Drosophila melanogaster: one gene and its partners. The protein of the gene in region 1 interacts with the protein of each later gene in a pairwise test. Each region holds a gene or a part of one and is shown in the gene's direction. Other genes may lie near its edges.

Evidence for each region.
Region 2: the proteins of CG12877 (region 1) and Acam interact in a two-hybrid assay, tested with the Drosophila melanogaster proteins (one large-scale study listed by BioGRID).
Region 3: the proteins of CG12877 (region 1) and byn interact in a two-hybrid assay, tested with the Drosophila melanogaster proteins (one large-scale study listed by BioGRID).
Region 4: the proteins of CG12877 (region 1) and CG2258 interact in a two-hybrid assay, tested with the Drosophila melanogaster proteins (one large-scale study listed by BioGRID).

Annotation. Positions count from the first base shown.
Region 1 is NT_033777.3:27,705,334-27,711,401, forward strand, and holds CG12877 (uncharacterized protein), read left to right. Parts: upstream 1-1,766; 5' UTR 1,767-1,876; coding exon 1,877-1,985; intron 1,986-2,043; coding exon 2,044-3,465; intron 3,466-3,523; coding exon 3,524-4,034; intron 4,035-4,292; coding exon 4,293-4,886; intron 4,887-4,943; coding exon 4,944-5,203; intron 5,204-5,280; coding exon 5,281-5,360; 3' UTR 5,361-5,524; downstream 5,525-6,068. Other genes in the region: CROT (carnitine O-octanoyltransferase), read right to left, coding at 1-54, 131-508.
Region 2 is NT_033777.3:25,809,901-25,813,654, forward strand, and holds Acam (androcam), read left to right. Parts: upstream 1-2,010; 5' UTR 2,011-2,088; coding exon of another isoform or gene 2,089-2,583; 5' UTR 2,584-2,743; coding exon 2,744-3,190; 3' UTR 3,191-3,234; downstream 3,235-3,754. Other genes in the region: CG5024 (uncharacterized protein), read left to right, coding at 1,305-1,802; CG17770 (uncharacterized protein), read left to right, coding at 2,089-2,583. UniProt on the Drosophila melanogaster protein: May be involved in calcium-mediated signal transduction.
Region 3 is NT_037436.4:11,925,752-11,930,733, forward strand, and holds the start of byn (brachyenteron), read left to right. Parts: upstream 1-1,941; 5' UTR 1,942-2,272; intron 2,273-4,982. UniProt on the Drosophila melanogaster protein: Required for the specification of the hindgut and anal pads.
Region 4 is NC_004354.4:8,095,449-8,103,416, reverse strand, and holds the start of CG2258 (uncharacterized protein), read left to right. Parts: upstream 1-1,962; 5' UTR 1,963-2,348; intron 2,349-3,345; exon of another isoform or gene 3,346-3,708; intron 3,709-3,800; 5' UTR 3,801-3,892; coding exon 3,893-4,066; intron 4,067-4,126; coding exon 4,127-4,276; intron 4,277-4,348; coding exon 4,349-5,548; intron 5,549-5,606; coding exon 5,607-5,804; intron 5,805-5,874; coding exon 5,875-5,983; intron 5,984-6,045; coding exon 6,046-6,255; intron 6,256-6,343; coding exon 6,344-6,516; intron 6,517-6,582; coding exon 6,583-6,774; 3' UTR 6,775-7,968.

The DNA of each region.
Region 1 (6,068 bases):
CTTTCTAGTCAGATCCCAAAACTCCAGCGAGTGGTGAATGTGGCGCGCCAGACTCTTCGAAAATTATACAGTCAATTAGGCAATCTTAAACTTTGTGTTCTTATAGAGCTTGGGGTGTGGGTCCACTCACCTTCAGCATGTACTCCGGTGTCTCCGGCACGCCCACCATTTCCAATTGCGAGGGCATGACCATGAGCTGGTAGGGCAGCAGCGGCATCCGAATCAGGTGATATCCGTAGTCCTCCCACCAGGTGCCCAGCCAGTTCCTCATGCCGGCCGCCCGCTTCTTGAGCTGTTCGTGCAGCTGGGCTCCCACTCCGTTTTGGAACTCATCAATAGTCTTGCGGGCCTGGGCCAACTCCTCCTTGGTCCCGAATGGCTGGATGCAGCTGTAGTAGCGCTCCATGGTGTCCCTAAGCTCCGGCAGCGGGAGCGAAGGTAAGGTCTCGTCGAAGTCGAAGGTGTTCTTATCATCCTTGCTCATAAAATATAGACTAGCCCGGTCCATGGTGGTTTAGCTGCGGGGGACACGTTGGAATCGTTGATATCAGTCTGCGCGTGTGGTGGTTTTCTATAGGCCTAAGTCAGATTAGTACAATAATCATATCGGGAATCGCTTTTACGTTCGTCAGGTCCAAAGTTCACCCAATACATTACTGAGTACATTCACATCGGAAATAAATTGATCTCATCTTATAGGTTAAACATTAAAATGGTGTGCAAATTAATACCACACAACTAAGAACACTTAATGTGCAACTAAGCGGATTATGCGTCAAGTTGAACGTAATCTTTCTTGGACTGCAGCTAGACGACTATCTTCACTAATCTCCTCAAGCTGGACAAAGTCCGGATTGGGGAGCTTTATAAATATTTATACTCCCGGCGCACTGGTGAAATCATAGGCGAATTTCTAGCCCACTGACCTTTGTACTCGATGGGGAATTCACTTTTGCCGGAGACAACTGAAGCGCCAGACTGCCGTTATACGACTGAATCCATAGGTTGGTTCCATATCACAGCAAACCTTGCCGGAGGGGGAGCACTTGAATTATCGCACCGTGGGATCCGCCACCCGCGTCCACTGACTCAGTGCGATAATATATCACCCTAATCATTGCTATTGCAGACAGTCGGCCACCGATAATGGCCGGTTTCATTTGAATTTCTATATGAATTTCTTTTTTAATAACATATTCCAGCAGACACACCCACACAAACCTTCGATGAGGCGGCAGTTGAATGTCGCGCCCGAACTTCAGTTTGCGATGCACTCGATCGAAATTAAAACGGTTCCGCAGCTATCAAGTTCATTAGGCTAGATAAGCAAACAATTTTATAGGTTAAACAATTATTTTTATTATTATACTGCTGCGTTTTTGTTTACAAGCGGCGAAGACCCTATAGGAAATTGGCACAGCAAACAGCTGTTTGCAGGAGTTGCCAGACTTTTTACACCATTTGTTTATACCGTTAGTCACCACATTCTTATTACGTACATCTTATTCTTATTAACATCGCATAGCATTGTACATCGTACCGCAAGATATAATCCTCCCGGATTGATGCAATCAACTGCCATAAACGTACATTGTAACCGTTAACAAAATGCGAATATTGTTTACAATTATTAATTAAATAGGTCATTCAATGTTTTGTAAATATTTAAAACTTATTTAAATTTATTTAATTTAATTCCTTAGCATCCATTCATAGCATCCATGCTGACGCCTATCTGGCAACGCCGCCAGCAGCTGAAACAGCTGACATCTGTCGAAATGAGTGAAAGAGACAGGCAGAAAGAATAGAAAGAAATTTGGGACGCTTGTTTTCTCAAGCGGCTTTATTAAATTTCTAATCCCAGCAAGAGGTGGAAATGCTGCCATCCACGGGTCTCTTTAAGGGCTTCTTGTGCCCTTACTTTGACGGCCAGGATGCGGCGTCCTGCAAGCGCCCCTTTTGCCACTTTAAGCATGCTCGCAAAGGTGAGTGAATTACGTCCAGTTAATTTCGCAACAAATTCTATCCACTCTCGGTTTACAGACGAATTGGAGGCCGCTCCACCTGCAGAACCTTCCCCCGTGCCCAAGTACAAGCCGGCACCCAAGTTGCTCTCCCTTCCACTGCCCCAGATCACGCTATGTGCGCCCCGGAAGAAGTCCAATCTGGAGTACCACCCGGAGAAGCCGGCTCTTGACGCATCGCCGGCTAAGAAGAAGCAGGAGGCGTCCGTGGACAGTGCTCCCAAATATGTGCCCGGCCAGCCATCTGTTACAAATGGCGAAGAATATGACGATTGGCAGGCGGTACTCGAAAAGGAAATTGATGAGCAGATGCAGGTGGAGATTGAGGAGCAAGTCCAGAATAACGACGAAGAACAGAAGATAGATACGGTAGCTGAAAACGAGGAGGACCAGGAGAATACGCAACTGACGGATGCTAGGGATAGCCACGAAAAGGATCGAAAGCCCAGCAAGGAGCGGGAAAGGGATATAGAAAAGAAGAAGATCAGAGAGCTGAAAAGGGAAAAGATCAAAGACAGGGATCGGGACCGGGACCGGGACCGGGAAAAAGACAAAGAGAAGAGCAAGGAAAGGGACAGAGAGAAGGAAAAAAATGATAGGGATAAGCGAAAGTCCTCCCACAGCGACAAGGAGCGCTCCAAGGAGCGAAATACTTCAAGCTCAAGTTCCTCTAAGCACAAGTCTTCATCTAGCTCCTCTTCCAGCAAAAAGTCATCCAGCAGCGATAAGCACCGCGACGACAAAAGTTCCAGTAGCAGGCACAAGAGCAGTTCTTCATCATCCTCCTCGAAGAGCCATCATCACAAATCTAGTTCCTCGAGTTCACGGTCCAAAACTAAGAGGAGCTCGTCTTCCAGCAAAAGCGCTGGCACTTCAAAGAGCGAACCGGAGGCGGATAAGGATACTGAAGCAGCTGTACTGACACCAGCAGAACCTATGGATGATCTGGATGACATGGACTTTGATTTTGAAGCAGACACCTCGGAAGGAGAAATTGTACGCCAGTGTGAAATGATTTTTGACGAGATGGAAAAAAAATTTGCGCAGATGCACAAGGACGAAGGCGGCAATGCCAACCCGGAGAGTTCTCGCAAGCGCAAAGCTCCTTCTCCGGACATTGATACCTTCACCGAGGCAGCCACGGCGGCTCTGCAGAAGCGCCGGGTGGCCCACGAGAATGCTGACAAGATCACGCCTCATTTGGCTCCTTCGGCGGCGATGCGCAAACCCAATCACGTCCGTAATGCCATGCAGGCGATCTTCAACCGCCGCGCGGAGCTGCGGCGCCAGGAGAAGCTACAAGCCGAAGCCTCAGCGGAGCAGGTACGTCAGGCACAGGAGCGGGTGCGCCAAGCGCAGGAGGAGCTCCGTCAGGCCAAGGTCAACTCCAACCTCACGCCACTTATTTCGCGAAGTGCTCTGACCCCACCAGTGCGATCAGGTGAGCATACCACTTTGGAATATATAATAATTCAAATTCAAATATTTTTGGTTACCAGCTCGCAGCATAGCACCTGTGGCCAACATTGTGGCCATCGCTCGGGCCAAAAAAAAGATCGAGGAGCTGCAGGCCGAGAAGAAGCCAGCCTTTACGCCTGCACAATCATTCAAGGGCGCCGGCCGTGTGGCTCACAAGCCCACTGCTGCGCTAGACAAAGCGGCTCCTGTGTCCAACGCGGAGAAGCCAACCGTCCTAGATCCCAGCAGCTCCAAGATATCATACAACGTGCGCATTCAGTATTATGAGATGATGGTAAGGCACTGCACCGTCATCTATCCGCAGCTGGCAGATGCCTGGGAGCGCGCCCAGGTGGAGGAGTTGACCGTCTTTAAGAAGTGCAACACGCCTGCCATCTACAAGAACAGCTGCATGCTGGCGATTAACAAGCTCCGCAAGGAGGCCTTAGAGGCGGGAAACAAGCCGAGCGTAGCCTGCAAGACTGTGTCGCACGAGATGATGCTGGGCGGCAAGCGGGCGCTCACCACATCCTGGAGCGTAGAGAAAAAGGGGTGGGTTTGTATACTAAACTATAGTTATTCTCTATGTGCACATTATAAGATGAAATTCGCTTAATTGTAAATACTGCCACTGGCCACAAGCATAAACGTAAACATAAGCATAATTTCTCTTTATGACTTCACATTTCTTCCTGGAAGTCATGAATGTTAACTTTTATGACATTTGTACGTATTTCTAACATTTCAATTGCATATAAAAAGTTTTTGATATCTTTACCCTAACAAACATTAAATATATATCTATTGCAGAAAACTGAGCTCCTTGGGCAATGGCGAACCTTTCGATGCTTTAGACGCCGAGAAAGCTTACAAAATGGTATTCGATCTTCGCCTGACTGAAGAGCAGCTGGTGGAGAACGGATATCCGCGTCCGGGCGATAAGCGCGGATCCGCAGTGATACGCGCCTGCCGCCCCAACCGTCGTCCCAACCAGAAAGAGCGCTACTGTTCCCGCTGCGGCAAGGTATTCAGCTTGGACATATACGAGCACCAGAGCTTTGACATGTGCAACTACCATCCGAAAAGCACGGGATATCGACGAGGATTCACGGACCACCAGCATCGCTGCTGCCAGCAGCCGGCGGGCACTCCAGGCTGCACCTATGCCAACTACCACGTCAGCGACTATTACGATCCGGAAAAGCTCACCTGTTTCGTGAAGACGATCGAACGGGGTGAGGAATTTGTGCCCACTAAGAAGGACATATATGCACTGGATTGCGAGATGTGTTATACCACACACGGAATAGAGCTAACCCGCGTTACGGTGGTGGACATAAATGGACGCAGCGTTTACGATGCTCTTGTCAAGCCGGACAACCAGATTGTGGACTACAATACGACGTGGGTGAATGTAGCTTTTCGGTTGTTTCGTATTAATCTGCAATACTCTGACTTCAGCTACTCGGGCATCACGGAGGCGATGCTCTCCAATGAGACGCGTACCATACGCGACGTTCAGGCGGTGCTGATGTCCATGTTCCATGCCAAAACCGTGCTCGTTGGCCACAGTCTGGAGAGCGATTTGAAGGCACTCAAACTCATTCACGACGTTGTGGTGGACACATCGGTGCTGTTTCCCCACAAGATGGGACCGCCAAAGAAGCGAGCTCTGAAAACACTGTGCATTGAAAACCTAAAGCGGATTATACAGGAGAGCGGTGAGTGTGTCTAGTCTTTTACTTTATCACTTGACGTAAGAAGTTTATTATAATTATTATATTTCCTTCTTCCACAGAGGCTGGCCACGACAGTGCCGAGGATGCTGAGGTGTGCATTCAGCTCATCAAGTATTATCTGCGCAACAAAATCAGTTGAGCTGCTATCACGCACCATCGCAAGCATTCAGTTCAAAAGCATTACGTACATCTGTTAATATGTATATCATGCCCATCAAAAATCAAAGCCTTAGCCTTTAAGCTAACCATATTATGTAAAATCAAACTGTATAAATATATCACCAAGCGATGACAGCGAAAAATAAGTAAAGCTTGCTTTAAATGCCAATTTAAAGTGATTGAAGTGTGGCACATGGAACTTAAAGAACGCTGTACAGTACGCTACGGATTTGGCGAGTCCTTTGAAGAATTTCTTACCTCGAGCCTTCAACCAGGTATATTTGTTCATTTTTCTCTATTTTTGCCTTGCCCATTTTTCCTTGCGTTTTTTCCATTCTCTTCACTATCGATAACAATTCAATGAAAAGCAATTGGAAAGTTTTGTAAAGTTTTTTACCTGCCACCGCGTTACAAACTGTAATTGCAAGTTTCGTGCCTGACGCACATCACAGAATATTCGCCGCTGCCCTCGTCCCGCCCCCAGGTTGGCCGCCTTGTTTTTGTTGTTATTATTTAAATGTAATTTTAATCAGATTGCGGCGATACTTTATATTTTTCAATTATACTCGGCCTCGTCTGCTGGCCGTGGGCACCATCTGGATATTGGCTTCTGGTTGCTCCTCACTGGCGCATGATTTTTCAATTTTAACGTTTTATAATTTTCCGTTCTGTGCGTTCCGGTAAAAGT
Region 2 (3,754 bases), 1.9 Mb from region 1:
TAATACTATATGAAGTTGTGGTTCCAAAACTGGCATAAAGGGATTTGCACATGAAAACCCTTTGCATGTGTGTCCTGTCCCACTACAGAAATGCAAATTATCCAAATCCCCCAAAGGTCTGTTGCCATTTCGATTGCGGCTCGGCTGTTGCTATATCGTCCTGTTTATGCCTGATTAAAGTCAAACAACAAACATATTCTGAGCTGCATTTACCAGACAATCGTATAAACATATACACATGTGGTCATCAGAATAGAATTTATTAGTTGGGAGATCTACAAATCTGCCAATTATTTTAAGCAAATTGTTTTTACTCTCCTTTAACGCAAACAACTTTTATTTATTTAGTTAGTAGCCCTAATTAATATATTACCTGCTAAGTAATACTTGGAACTATTGTTTTCCATACAAATATATAATCCCGCATCTCTGGCCCGAAAAGTCCTCTCTAATCTATGCAGAGAAATGCTTGACAGTGCCTTGTTGTGTGGCTCAACTTTGGCCCCAATCCTAAATCCTTTGTGTCCTTCGTGGCCAGGATTTGCTTCTCATTACCAAGAAGCCCCCATTGTTCGCTCCACTGGGAGGAGCACGTGTGAGAAAGGTTGATGGCCAGGGACATGGGTTTGTGCAGTTTGGTTCTCGCCTTCTCCGCTCCCAAATTATGCAAATTGCTCGAAATTTTGCATTGGATAATTTCCCTATTTGCCCGTAATGCTCAATAAAAAAAAAAAAAATACAAACACAAAAAACATTTTATGACCCAAGAGACCAACGATGGCAGCAAATGGCTGAGCAGAAAAAATACTGAACAGTTGTATAAATGCACCAACAAAAATAAAAATAATATAAAAACAGAACAAACTGCGACGCATTTAATTAAAAATGTAATTACCCATGCTTTTCAACAGCCACATTGCTCGAAGCGGTAGCCAGAGGCTATGAAAACATTATTCGGAAAATTGTTGCAAATTTAATTGTTAAATCCTGCTATATTTTACTGCGGTGTTACTGCATCACGGAGCAGTTGTAGTTTTTTCCATTTCACAAATTTATCTTACTGAAAATGAGTTTAAGAACCATGTCAGAAAAGAGCGTGGGGCAACTAACAAAAAAAAAATTTTAAAAAACTAACTAGTAATCTTTTGTTGTCAATGCCTTGAATTTTCCACAATTTCAGTCTAAATGGAAAACTGTCAATGAAAAGACAATATTTAAACACAACTATTTTCGAAAAACTAAATTTTAAAATTCATCTTTTCGGGAAATCCAAATTTTAGCCCAAGGTATACTTACAATTTGCCATGGATGACTTTGATTTCAGTAGTCCACCTCCGGAGGTACGAACAGTTCATACCCACACGCTGAATGATGAACAGCTCAAGGATTGTGAGGCGGCCTTCGCCCTCTTCGACGACGATAATGCCAAGGTCATTCCGATCAAGTTATTGAGAGATTGCCTGCGAGCCGTGGCCCACAACCCGCCGGAAAACGAGATACAGGATTATATAACCGAAATTGATACGGATGGATCCGGCGAGCTTTATCTCAGTGATTTCCTATACATCATGTCGAAACGGTACGAGAATTTGACCGTCGAAGATGAAGTTATCCTCGCTTTCAAAGTCTTCGACAAAGATGGATCTGGCTTTATACACGAGAATGAGTTCCGTCAGATAATGACTGAATATGGCGATGAAATGGAAGAGGACGAGATCGAGGAAATGATACGTGATGCCGACGCCAACACGGAACTGAAAATCGACTACGTTCGCTTTGTGACCATGATGATGGAGACGTAACACTCTCTTTGAAAAATAAAAAACATAACCGATTGTAGATCTAATCAATAAATTTCAAAAGCATGGCCAATGGAATCGAAGATCTTGAAATATCGGATACCACCAGTTTGGACTATTCTTTAAAAAAAAAAAAAAGCCAATATACAATAGATAAAATGATAACAAGAGTAGGCTTTTCTTGTTATTAAATTATAAATATGAAGTTGTGAACTAAAGTTTGTCGAAAATTTGTAGTGAGTGTTCAGTGACCCCAAAATTTTCCCACCCCCAACCCCTTCCTTTGGCCATGGATTTCGAATTCCTTACTCCGCCGCCAGAGGAACGGACCATTCGCACCCACAATCTGACCGAAGAACAGGTCAAGGATTTGGAGATTGCCTTTTCCCTGTTTGACGACCAAGACACTAAGGTTATTCCTATAACAAATCTCAGGCAACTAATGCTGTCTGTGGCCCACTATCCCAGTGATATGGAATTGCAGGAAATTCAGGCCGAGATCGATGCTGATGGATCCGGTGAGTTATATCTCAGCGATTTCCTTCACATCATGTCTCAGAGGTACGCAAACATGTCTACCGAGGATGAAATTATAGCTGCATTCAGAGTCTTTGACAAAGAAGGAACCGGCTTAATATCTGAATCGGAATTTCGTCACATAATGCAGAACATGGGGGAGCAATTGACGGATGATGAGGTGGAGGAGATCATCCGTGATGCAAATTCTGATTTGGAAGGCAATATAGACTATGTGCGATTTGTCAGAATGATGTCCACTACATAAGGAAAAAGCAGGCTTTAGGGGTTGGGAACCCGACCTGTCAGTATCAGTATCATCAAAACAGTTTCGGCTCATTCCCTTTCGTAAATTCCAACAGTCTATAGCTCTGCAAGCATTTAAAAATATCTCGATAAATACCGAAAATCTTTGAAAATTTATCAAGATGTCCGAACTAACGGAGGAGCAGATTGCCGAGTTCAAGGATGCCTTTGTCCAGTTCGACAAGGAGGGAACCGGCAAGATCGCCACCCGTGAGCTGGGCACATTGATGCGCACCTTGGGCCAGAATCCAACGGAGGCCGAGTTGCAAGATTTGATAGCTGAGGCCGAGAACAACAACAATGGCCAACTGAACTTCACTGAGTTCTGCGGTATAATGGCCAAGCAAATGCGGGAAACTGACACTGAGGAGGAAATGCGTGAGGCATTCAAGATTTTTGATCGTGATGGCGATGGCTTTATATCACCAGCTGAGCTTCGCTTTGTGATGATCAATCTGGGCGAAAAGGTCACCGACGAGGAGATCGATGAGATGATTCGCGAGGCTGATTTTGATGGGGATGGCATGATCAACTACGAGGAATTCGTATGGATGATAAGCCAGAAGTAGTACAGCTACTTTAAATGAAATAAAAATATTTGGGGTCACTGCATAAAAAAAATCGTGTATTTCTCTTCAAAAAATACAATTTACACTTCTCTGCGGTCTAACTATTTTCGAACACTTTTTAATACGCCCCCAATTATTTCAATTATATTTTTGCGGTGTGCTAGTTTTTCCTTTGCCTAATTCGGAGACCGAGAATTTTTCAAGCATGTCCTGCTCTTAAAAATGTTTGATGAAGGCACCCCATTTCGGTAATTGTGGTTGGTTTAAGGAATTTTCGCCTCGCCTTCTTCAGGTGAAAACTTTCAGCATGAAACACTCGACGTGGTTTTAGTCCGCCTTTTCGTTTCCCTGGCAAGTGGTTTTTGCTTCCACATGCGGCACCTTTGTGGCCAGACGAACAATTTTCCTGTTGCTTAAATTCAATTTGCTTATGCATTAAAATTAAATTTTACTGTGGCCTCAGCGGGCCCGGCTCGTACTCCTTGCTGGAAGCAACCTCTTGGGGTCTTTGGGGCTTGTGTCTGACTTTATAAATATTTCGTGTGTGTTGTGTACGCGCATGTA
Region 3 (4,982 bases), on another chromosome or scaffold:
GTTCGCCCTCATTTCCGCGTACTCCTCTGCGCGGCGCATTCTTAATGAAAACGTGCGGCATCTTTAATGAATGACCAAAGGGAACTGGAATAGGTAGCCCAGACATCCGTCACGGTTGCGACAACTACATGGCGATCCATTCGATTCACTTGTCTATCCGCCAGATACATTTCTCCATTAGCCAACGCTCAGCCCTCCGGAGTCCCCTCCATTTTCATTTCCATCTCCGACTATTTTATTGAGTTCCCTAGTCTGTTGATTTTTCTCATTTACTACCGACGGTTGTACTGTTGTACCAGACCCTTAACTAATGGCCATCGTTGGCCGCGAGCTGTTTGTCTTTCAGCGCCATAGAATGCCCAACTTTTTGACCGTTCCCAGCCCCCTAGATAAAGTCGGTCCATTGACACGCGGCGATGACTTGGAACCGACTAAAAAGCGAGCTGCGATCCACGAAAAAACACAGACTGCCGATGCAAGAGGCGCGTGATCTCAAAAAAATCACGGAAAAGCTATAAATAGTTGGTGTTTCGAGTCTCGCAATATACAACTTTGAAACAACCCAGCAAACTTTCATTGAATCGCATTTTACTGTATTTACTATATAAATTAGCAATGAAATCAATGCAATAATACACGGATAATTAAAAGATATTTTTAGGTACATTTTTTCTATTTTATCTTCGATAATAAAATATAATGTTCGAAATGTAAAGTAAAAAATACAAGTGATATAGCATTTTAAAGTGTGATTCTCTCCAATGTGGATGCAAAATTTCAGTTGGTCATGTGTGGTCACGCACCGCCCCAAAAATCCAGCAACTCCGCCCCGGGGTAACTTGTATTTTGGCCACATACACAAATTGACGCACCAGAGTCAAATGTTTACAACTCGAAATTCAGCTGAAAATTTTACCAAAAAAAAAAAGTGTTGGATCGGCAAACCCGTTTTGGAGTGCAAACAGACCCCGTGGAAAAAATACAAAGTTTTAATTGGTTGGACAAACAAAACTCAAAACGAGCGTCTAAACAAATCAAAGCCACTCTGCGGCGAACAACGAACAACGTACTGTGAATCCAGACCTCAGACACACCGAAAAAAACAACTCAGATTTACATTTTAATCTCAGATTATCCTAGTTTAAGGGTTTTTGTTAGTGAATATCTTGATCTTTTGTATTGCATCTATTTGATATCAACCACTTATTAAACTATTTACATATGGACTCCAAGTAGTAACTCAAAAACCATGATTATGTACAGTAGGCATTTAATGAAAGAAGTTTCAATAACAACGGATGGGATATAAAGATAAAAGATTCCTTCAACTTCCAATCTACGGCTGAGACAAGGATTCCTTTGACAAATTCAGAGCGTCTATAATAAAGATCACAAAAGATAAGAGACTTTTTCTCTCTGTGCAACAAATGTGAGCAACTGAAACACGTTACACTTAATTTTTGGCGCATGCAAATTGAACGATTAGCCACGGGGGTTACAGCAGGGGTATATAAATCCCGCCTAGGACTCCAATTCTGGGCCTTCTGAGAGTTAAAGGTGTGCTCGCCCTGAACGATCCGACCCACCTGAGAGTTCGATGTTATGGGGGCTCTCTACCTGTTGCCGGGTTCTCGATGGCGATGGCCGCAAATTGACCAGCCGGGTGAGCGAGCGAGAGGCGAAATACCGCCGCTGTCTTACCTGTTAGAGGGTGTGGCCTAACCATCCGTCAGCCAGCCGATCATCGATCGGGCCAAAACGAGATGGCTATAGGACCGGTAGAGAGCTAGCACGCTAGCCGGCCATCATATCATCCATGGGCCAAAACAAGAAAACAACAACGATGCCACGATGTCGATCGGCTGGCCAAAGACGAGAGATGAGAAATAGAGGAACCGAAAGCGCGGCTTGTGATGGTTGAAAAAATTAGCACCGATCGTTGATCATTAGCTCGGGAACGGTGGCAACGCAAACACACGATCGGCGGCAGCGCTAAACTCCAATCTCGAATCTCGACTCGAATCAAATATCTTGAAATCTTTGAAAACAAATTTCACGCGGCTGTATCTTCCCACTTGAATCTGAACTCATACGATAGTGATCCTTGATAAAGTGAACCCTCTAGGGAATTAGTGCTATAAAAGTGCGTGATTTGGCAGTGTTGCGTATTCAACTAAAATCTAAATCTAAACCTAAACCATCTTCATAAGGAGTTTACCACTGGATTATATCGAGAGCGCCGAGTTTCGGCGTGAAGCAGGTTACCAAATTGGTAAGTTAGTTGCACTTTATCTCAATTTTGGTTTCAAAATTTTAAGTTTAAACTTCATAAGAAAGAAACTTAAACGAAAATTCGAAGTTTATTTTAAGAAACGCTTGTATTCCTTTTTAAAACATCTTTATTTTCGAACAGAAGTGTTAAACACTTCGTTTTAAATGCTAATAACAGCTATTAAACATTGCGAAACGTTGACTAATCTTTTTACTATTCAAAAAAGAAAAATCAGACATTTTTACGATGGAAGTAGACTTATGCGTCGGCAAAGGATATGTTGTACTTTTAAATATATATTTGGAAATAATTAACTTTTTGAGAAGAAAATGTAAAAAATGAAGTAGAATTGTGGCAGACAAACACTGACCCCAAAACATATGGCTCCCAAAAAAATCATAAAGTCACTTCTCCGATTCAAAAGTTTGGGTGCCATAAAGTGCGAGTGTTTATTCCTCCGTGTGACATATGACCATAAACGTAATCAAATAGCAAATTGGCAAACCTATTTAAACGAACGTGTGAAAATCAAATGCCGAAGCCAAACAAAATCACCAAACAGACATATTTTGACACTTGGCCAAAAAAAGAAGAAAAAAGTCAAGACGAAGTGTTGGCGGCTCGCCCGAAATCCAACGGGCAAGTGACAAAATCCCCCATTAACGATCCTAATAATACCTCTAATGACATAAAACAGCAGCCGAGAAAGGGGCGGGAGTGGCCGTGGGCGTGGCCGACGTTCACACGCAAATTAGTGGGGACATAAGAATTTTCAGACATGCGTCTGGGTATTGCCAAAAAAAAAACATCAAGTTGGATCGATCTGAGGCGTCCAATTACGACGCATGTGAAAATTATCCTATTAAATGCAAATCAAAGAGGCCCATAAACAGACCCGAAGGAACCCCCCTCACCCCTCCGCAACGCCCACGCAGATCGTTTAGTACTTGACAAATGCTTACTAATTAATTACAGTTTGTACAAAATTTTAGTACGCCGCTCATAAAAGTGCGCCTACCACTGTGCCGTGGAGTGCTGAAAACAAAAGTGTGACAATCGGTGTTTAAAGAAACGCCCACAAATCGCCAAAAAAAATATATCGAAAATATCCTGAAAGGTCACCAAGTTCTCAATGGAGCGACCTCTGACATTGTCCTCCGGAAACATTATTGATTGCATTAGAATCGAGCCAATTCACGGCTATTTCCATTTCAGTTCGCCCACGCAGTATCTAAATTTAAATTCGGTTTATTTTCACGCGAAGTGGTGTGTGAAATTTAGCAGATTCGGTTTAATCGCCTCCAACTGGCTACCAGTGACTTGTCGTCATCCATGCCACCCGCCAGCATCCTGAGCAGGTGCGAAATATTGTCCTTTTCAACAAAGTGCGAATGGGAGTGGGATAAGTCGATCGGAGTAGCGAATAAACAAACAGAGCATTTATTATTGCACGTGTTCGATTACCTGAGAGGAGGGCAATTGTGGTTATTGCTTTGAATTATATAATAGATACACTGGTTTTTATATTTTATAGAAAATCGATAGGTTAGCAACATCATCTCTAACTAATTTTAATACATTTAATATTTTAGCATTTATTGAATTTCATGTTTAACTACAAATGCAGCGCGGAATCAGTTAAAGTTGAACTATAATAATATTATTATAATTATTATAATATAATGAACTATTATAATAAAATGCTGCAAATTTAACATGATTTTTAGTGACTTTAGTGATAATCGTTTAAGAACCATTAGAGTGCGCTGGCACTCCTTCCTTTAAAAGTTAAAGCTGAACCCATCGAAATGTATCTATGAGATTCGCCGAATGTGTTTCCATCGGCGACCATTAGTGCGTACCTGTACATTGAGTACGTAAGCGCCATATTACCAAAGGTTCGCTTCGATTTGGAATAGCGCGCACATTTCATACGAAAAAAATAGGAGGAAAAAACCCCCTCAAAGCGTCTGAGTAAATATCAAAGTCACGAAATGATTCAAAAATCAACAGAGCCAACAACAAAGCGGCTGGCCCGAGATGGGGAAAGAGTCCAATGCAAACCCCAAGCCCCAAGCCCGAAAACCCGTCATGGCTGCCATCAAAAGTCAAAGTATATGCCACATATATACACATGGGCAAACAGTCACACACGCTTCCTCCGCTGAGGAGACAACACACAAAAACAGCTTTTCATTAAGCTTAGTGATGGAGCCGGAGCTGGGACACCGCGTCTTAAAATCGTGGTGCTGGAGTGGCGCGGTGGTGCGGATCGATGTGGAACACAAACACGGCCATGAGACGAGCCATGTGGCGGGGAGCCATGTGGGGGAACCAGCGTCATGAAGAGTGAATTTTTATGATGTCGTCGATGTCGCCTATTGGGCACATGAGAAAAACCCGCCAAGTATCGCGTGAAAATTATGATAATGCGGAGCGAGCACGAGCTGGGAAAATCGGAAACCTTTGAACATTCATAAACTGAATATAACTTTCGAATGCTGGCCCAAAGTGGTTGAACTTTTAAACTCGGCCGATTGAATTCGAATTGAAACTTTTAATTGGGCCCAGCTTCTGGTTGAAATGGTACGGACATTCGGGCAATAAGATGTCCCTGGTTAGTTGACAAGTATGTTATATTAAAGTTGGTATCCACTTTTAGAAGTTAAAATTGAAATTTATCCAATGTAAATGTATCTTAAGAGTTCTG
Region 4 (7,968 bases), on another chromosome or scaffold:
GCAAAGGCGAAGGCGAAGGCAACGGCAAAACGAAACGGAATGGATACGTTACGGATACGGAGCAACATTTATCAATATTATTTTTAATAGCATAATTTCAAACGGATTAACAATTAGCGTGCACCAAGATCCTAATTGTGGACAAATGTTTTGCGGCCGTGCGTGACCTTTTGGAAATGAAAGTCAAGCAGACCAGGAAGGAGGAGGCGACGGAGAAGGAGAGGATGGATTAAGGAATGGTTATGGGGCACATGAGGATCCACGTGCCGTAGGATCCTCCGCCAGCCACGATATCCTCCAGGAAGTCACCATGCTCTCGTCATCGTTTCGATGGAACTTCGAGTTCCTCGAACCGTCGATCGCAGCCGATTTGCCATAGTTATATAGAGAGCTAAATGCTAAACCAACTATATACCAGCGTCAAGAACTACAACGGCAACATAAATCTCAACTAAGTGCCGTTCCACGAGACCTACAAAAATATGAATACATATAGTTCAAAACGAGGCAAGGTTAAAAGTGTATTTCTGTTTGTTTTCGTTTATATCATATATATTTATTATACTATTCCTATTCTTATAAATGCAAGTACAATGAAAAGTTGTTTATTTTTTTTAATAGATATATTTACACACACACACACACATACACACGCAAATACACATTTGTTTAAAAGTGGCCTGCTGTTATTAAACTAGATATGATAAGTACACATATAACGAAAAAAACAACACTGTGCTATTATAATTTATTGTGTATGTGATTGTTTCCCCATTATGATACGATTATGATTTATTGTGACCACAAGCAAGCAAATAAACGGAAAATATTGTTGAATCTTTAAACTTAATCGAATTGGGTCGTCCAGGACTTAGGAACTTTTTATATGATGCCTTCTGAATCAAACAAAAACTGTACTTATAAACTATTTACGCCTAGTGAACGTTATTACAAAGGGGTTTCCCCTGTGAATTGTAGTCTAAAATAGCAAATTGCGGTTATAACTAATCAAAATGAAAAAATAAAAACAATATATATACTACATATGTGTGCCACAGGCAAAACGTTTAACCAGAAAAAAAAACTTGCTAGCATTTAAATAAACATTTTTATAACGCATCCCAAGAATTAGCTTGCCCTTAAAATCAGTATTTTTATATAAATCACTACACGTACTGTCCCCCACAAACGAGTTAAATATTATATGCAAATAAAGAAACGTTTTCCTGAAAACCGAAAGAGATCGAGCTTTTTTTCAACATTTAAATTCTAGCGCCAAGTTGGCAGCCCACATATATCTGATATCGATAACGATAACAGGCCGGCATGCCCCACCTCTACATTAAAAGGAGAAGAGCAAATAGGAAATAAAAACAAGTGATTGGATAATTTTTGTTTGTTGATCCCGCTGTCTTTGTTTGGTAAAATGGTGAAAACTTAGTTAACGCCACTTGGATGTGCTCAAATTTTGGTTAGTGTTATTCGTGGCTTGTTTAAAACAATATATAAACAAACTCTAAACGCCGTTAACCCTTGTGCGCGTGTGTGTTAGCTTGCGGCTTTTTTTTGGGTGTGGAATAGTTTGTTATTGTTGTTGTTGTAAACACATATGTATATCTGTGCAACAACAATTTGTCGCTCATACTTTTTAGATACAGTGCTCTCTCTTTAAAGCGCATAACAAGTATTTATTTAAATAAATTTTGAAAACTAAACAATTGCCAAAGAGTGAGTGCGGTTTTTAAACTGTTAACATTCAAGAAAATGTTAATACAATTGCAACACTTCTTGTTGCTAAAGTTTCGCCTTATCGAGTGATCACCGCCCCCCACAAGAATTCCCTTTCCGACCATCGCCCCTCCCCGGCGACAGACAAATAGACAGGAGAGCAAAAGAGACATAAAACAAGTGCATCGCATTTTGCCAGGAGAGGAGCAGCATCACCCTTCTCGCATCGCCCATTGCATTTCGCATCTCGCATCATTGGAATTAATCAAGTGAGCTTCTCATTCGCGTGCTGCGGCCAAAGGGAACAACAACAAGTGATGGAGCAGCGGAACTAGCTGTGTCGCCTTCAAAAGGACATCGAAAGCACAAAAGAGAGGAGCAGCAAACACGCCCATCGTCGGAAGGCAACATAAAGCACACACATCCACACACACACACACACATATGCAAACGTCCTTGGCTCCTGGACGCCAACAGCGGATGTGCGGGAGGGCGCAGGACGAAGGATAGCTGACGTCTGAGACAGGAAACAACAGGAAGAAGACAACAGCAGCAATAGCGACTACAACAACAGCAACCGACAAACGCAATTACGGTAAAAGGTGCGCCCAACAACATGGGTAAGTGAGCGGGGCACATTCTCATTGCATCCTTTTTGTGTTGTGCCCATTGTCGCATTTCCATACATTACACCCATTCACCGCGTGTCCTTGTGTGCGTGAGTGAGTACAGCAGCCCTGCAGTTCCGAAAATCACTTTGCATTCGAGAGCATTCACCAGGTGAATCATCGGCGACAGAGGGGCCTTCGGTCCTATTGGATGTCCAATAAGATTTCTTTTGGGGCAGTCCTATAGGAAATACAAGGTTTTCTTTAGAACAGTCCTGTACATCTATTACTATCCTTTGTAATTTGTAACTACACAACACTTGTTTATAGTAAATTTTGAAAAGTAGTTGATTTTGAAGTACTTAAAGCAAATGATCTAGTTCATTTTAGGTTTTATTAACCGCAAAATATTTGAAAAAGTGCGAAAAGCCTAACTTTGAAAACGTCCATTAGTATTGTAGCTTTATTAAAAATTAATATACATAAAGATATTTGTGAAGATTTAATGCATGCATTATATTAAAACCACAAATGTGGGCCACAAATATTACTGTTATTTGTACCGCTATTCACTGGCTTATTTATGAACCGGTTCACTCTTGCACGGATATCCTGCGAGAAAAAAGTGTGAGAGAAAGATAGAGAGAGAGAGAGAGAGGGAAATGCGCGCGCGTGGAGAGAGAAAGCACGAGTGGGCGGGGCAGTGGAGGGGGCGCTGTGTTTTGAAACGGATTTGCTCGTGTTGAGATTTTCACACAAAGCAATAAAATAGGCACCCAAAGAAAATTTAAATTTAAAAAAAATCTAAATTTGTTTTTAAATATATGTAAAAGTTCTTAGGACAGAAGTTGGACTTGAACACGTACCTTTCTCTCTAAACTGTTCAAAATAGTGTATAAATTGAATGCACTTTGTGCTTTTTTCAGTGTAGCGTGGAGCGTAGAGAGCGCAGAAGCCACGTGGCTCTCTCTGGCGTGTTTGTGTTTGTGGGGAAAACAATGTAAGCTGAAAAGGATCAAAAGCGCAAGGCGTTGTTGCAGGACCTAAAAGCAGCGCACAAAGCAGAAACGGGAAAGGCAGGAAGAGCGAGCGAGTGAGCGAGCGCAAGTGAAATATGAAAATTGCATTTTCCTCTTCCTGTGTGGGGGTGCTCCATTAAAAATTCCACCAGCACGAGGAGTATCCTCTTTGACGGCTCCGTGCGAATCCTGCGGAACTCAGCAGTTCGCTGCAGTCCAGTTTAGTGGCACGAAAAAACATTTTGGAGCATCAATAAGAGTGTAGCCAGTGCCGTCAGTCCGCAGTTTGGCCCTCGGCAGTGAACTTAACTTTTTTTTTTAGCGCCTGCTGCAGTTTTTCCCCGTGTGCTTGTGTGAGTGTCGACGCCCTTAAAGTTTTTCAAATTTTCCAGCTTTGAAAATCACTTAAAATCAATCCGTTTCGATTTAATTCTTTTTATTTTAGCAGAGGCAGCGGCAGGAGGTGGCCCTGGTGGAGGAGCAAGTGTTCCCAGTGGAGGAGGTGGCAACGACATCGGTTTAGGCATCGGCATCGAGATGCTCAAGGCTCTGTACGACTTCCAGGCGGTCTATCCGAAGACCATCAGCTTCGATGAGGGCGAGTACTTCATCCTTTACCAGACGTCCGCCCGCCAGCGCAATTGGTGGCAGGTTGTCAGCATGAAAGGCAACATTGGCTTTGTGCCCTCCAATTACGTAATGAAGATTAAGGTGGAGTACATCGCTCACTAGTGGCTAAAAGGATTACTAAACATATGCAAATTTTGACAGGTGGAGCACGACTTTCTCATCAGCTTTCTGAACTCCTCGATAGAATCGCTGGAGAAGTGCACGGACCATGAGATCAATGGCATCATGTCCAAGGACGAACTGCTGGACAGGCTGCGCGAGAAGAAGCACACCATGGAGCGTCTGTATGCGGTGGGTAGATTCTAACTACTCGTATGGCCAAATGAATGTTATTGATGACCTATCTCCCCTCCTATCTTGCAGGAGAGTTCCGAGCGCGACGGTGACTCCTCGCTTTCCTATTCACACAGCTACAGTGACAAGGGTAGCCACCGGCACTCGCATCCCCATCCCACCCAATCCCAGACGCAGCTTCATTCCCAGCACAGGCAGCACAGTCCGCCGCCCAGCGGCGGCAGCGTTGGCTCCCAGCGTTTGGACATGAGCAAGAAGAGCATGTCAAGTCCAGCGGTGGGCTCATCGTGCGGCCTGCCCCAGAATCAGGGCATGATCGAATCGCCCAGCATGGGCAGCATGCAGTTCCAGGGCAGCAGCTGCACCATCCAGACGCCGCAGCAGCAACAGCCGCTCCCAGCACCGCCAGCACCAGCTCCCTCGCCATCGGCAGCATCGGCCACACCCACTGCGGCATCAACGAGCAAAGCGGCCACCGGCGGTGATGTCGCGCAGGACAATAGCATTACGTCGGAGCCCTCGGAGACGACAACGACCACTACGACGACCAGCGAAGATGTGGTCACCACATACAAGGAGACCAGCCAAATGAGCACCAGCCAGCAGCATAAGCCGCAAAATGGGAGCACTGCCTCGGCGTCCATTTCCGCATCTGCCTCGGCCTCAGCTTTGCGCAGCAACGGCGGCAACGGCAAGGCCAACGGTAGTGCCACAGCCCTGCATCAGGAGCTGCAGCAGGAGGAAGCGGACAGTGCGCCGGACAAGTCGGATGATGCCAGCGCCGTGCAAAGTGACGACGGTTGCCCGGCCAACGGAGATAGTGCGGATAATAGCCAGGCGCTGGACAGCATCGACAGTCCGTCGCATCGACAGCGCGGCCTGAGCCTGGGCAGAATCGAGGAGGGTGCCACAGGAGGAGGCCAGTTGAAGGTTGAGTCATCGGATGTATATCAGATTGTGGACGCCCTGCGGCGGAACACCAACCTCAGCTTCGATCTCTCCTGTGAAGCATTGCGCGTGGTGCTGACCAGCCTGGAGCAGCTGTACAACGGTGCCATCAATCCGTACCTGGAGGCGGTGGCCGTTCATGTCACTGGCAAAGTGGCCACGCCCAAGGAGCTGCTGGGCATTACGCACGACGCCAAGCGCTTGCAGTATCTCTTTGCCCAGCTGGCGGACTGCAAGAACGATACGGAGCAACGCACTTGGATGCTCTACGAGGATGAGGAGGACATCATTCAGTTCCTTGAGGAGCTTGTTGAGATTTTGGTAGGAACTAGTTTTTTTTTTGTAACTTTAAATCTTAAACTTATATCACTCCTTACAGATCAATGCTGATGAGAGCATCAGTTGCTACGAGATGTCCTGCGATCAGTACCAGATGTTTATCAATCTGGTGCAGTACTATCAGATGGAGACGCGCTGGTCCATCAAGCGACTGCTGCTTAAGACCTTTACGGCCGCTTGCCATCTGGACTATATCATTGTGGACATATTGCTGACCTCGGTGCTGCCATTGGAGATTGTAAGCAGGAGCTCAGATTGTGCCACCTAATGGTTTTCTAAGTTTAGAACTTAACATACTTAACTTTCAGGTCGAGGACATGAAGACGCACTTCTCCAATCTGGATCGCTTCAAGCAGCTGGTCAAGATGCTCACTATTATCTTCTCACTTGGACAGCCCATGCCGGTTAATCATCAGGGTAAAAGCTATCTTAACTTATTAACCAATAGTTGCATGCTTATACTTTGATGTCTATTATAGATTATTTGGGCGTACATTTTGCCAGCTTCCTACTGGAAATCGTCGAGGGCAATAATCCGGAGGTCTTGGTGGACATGGTCATTGCCTTGATCTTGGCCTTCAATCAGCAATTTAGCGAACATACCTATAATGTCATCATCGAAGGTATGCAGAATCTGCCATCCGCCAAAGTGTTTACGGAGAAGTTGCTACTTTTGCTCAATCGAGAGGGTAAGTTTTCAATTTTAAGCATACTTTTTAATTAACTACAAAACATAAGCATGTAAATTGGATCGATTTCTTCTTGAATTCTAACCAGATGATCCCACACGCTTGCTCAAGCATCCCAACGAGCATATGAACACGGTGCTGCGAATGTTTATCGACATATTCAGCCATCCGGATACGGCGGGCATGTTCTACACGAATGACATCAAGGTGCTTATCGATATAGTGGTTCGCCAGCTATCCGATTTGGATGCCGGCAGTACGGTGAGTCCGCCAAAAGTCAATGCAACTATAGTGCTCCCTACTAAGTACACTTTAATTTGGTTTCAGACGCGACCATGCTACTTGGAGCTTTGCCGACGCATCCTGCGCAATACGAACTATCAGGAGCACCAGCATCGCAAGCATGATCTCATGAAGATCTTCACGCGCATCTTCTGCGAGGAGACCGAGTGCAGTGCCTCCGATCAGCAGCTGGTGCGGGAAATAGCGAACGAATTTCCGCAGCTGTTCAAGGCCTAAGGATTATTGGATACGTATACCAAAACAACAACAAAAGCCCAAACCAAAAAAAAAAAGAACAAAAAACACGGAGGGAAACCAAAATTGTAAAGCGTTGCTAGTGAGGCGAGCCGTTGAAAGCGAGCCAAACCTTAAAATCTCAAATAATTTCAAGTTTGATCAGTGCATTTGTTATGCGTTTGTTTTAGCGTTTCGGTCTAGGATAGCCCTCGTCAAAAAAAAAAGTCAAATATTGAAAAGAATGCATTTCGATCCATGCCGGATCGAAAGGGAGCACACACGCGACTCTACATATATCTTATGAACATAGTCTGTAAGCAGGACAAATGTACTAGTTGCATGTGGAGTAGATGCAACCTCATAGAGATGATAACCCAATCTAGCGATCTAGGCGAAAGAAATGAAGCTATAGCCTATAGCCCATATAGTCTAACACTAAATTATCCCCTGTTTAGGATGATTTCACTAATTTAGAATTTAGCCAGGGACAATTTTAGCCAGAAGCAGAGTCAGAGATTAGCCTCACTTTTAAATTTTTATAGTTCCAATTGCCCATTTGTTTGGAATTCAAAATTTTGACAAAACAAAAGAAGATGGAAGCATAAGAAAGAATGAAATCTTTCGAGGAATATAATATTTATAGCCTAATTATACACCTATAATGAAAATATACATTCATGGCGAATGCGAATGAAACGTTAATTGCAATCTACAAGTAAACAATTGATATATTAACGATGTATGATCGCAGTATTTGCAGCTAGCAAAATCCAAATCGATTCGAATGTAACGAGCATATAATGTTAAATTTGTTTATATAATCTATGAGATGGAGAACTAAGCCGAACAGGAAATCATTGACAATTGTTAAAGCTCAAATACTTATTAATTGGAGGCTAAGGAGGCTGGAAATTGAAAATAATTAACTATGCAAGAGCATTGAAAGTTAGGACAACCATTTGCATTTCTCACTCACTAAAAGACACGAACACACTGTGGCACTTGCATTTTGAAGGTATACAGAATTCCGAATTATATTAAAACAAATTATTGCAGTACCAGTTTTATTTTTTTTTGTAATACTTGTTAATACCTTTTCTTTCTGAACTATAGGGTTTTAACCTCCAGCAAACCAGCCACATTTTCTCTATATATCTCTCACTATTTATCAAGAAAAAATAACAACACAAAATT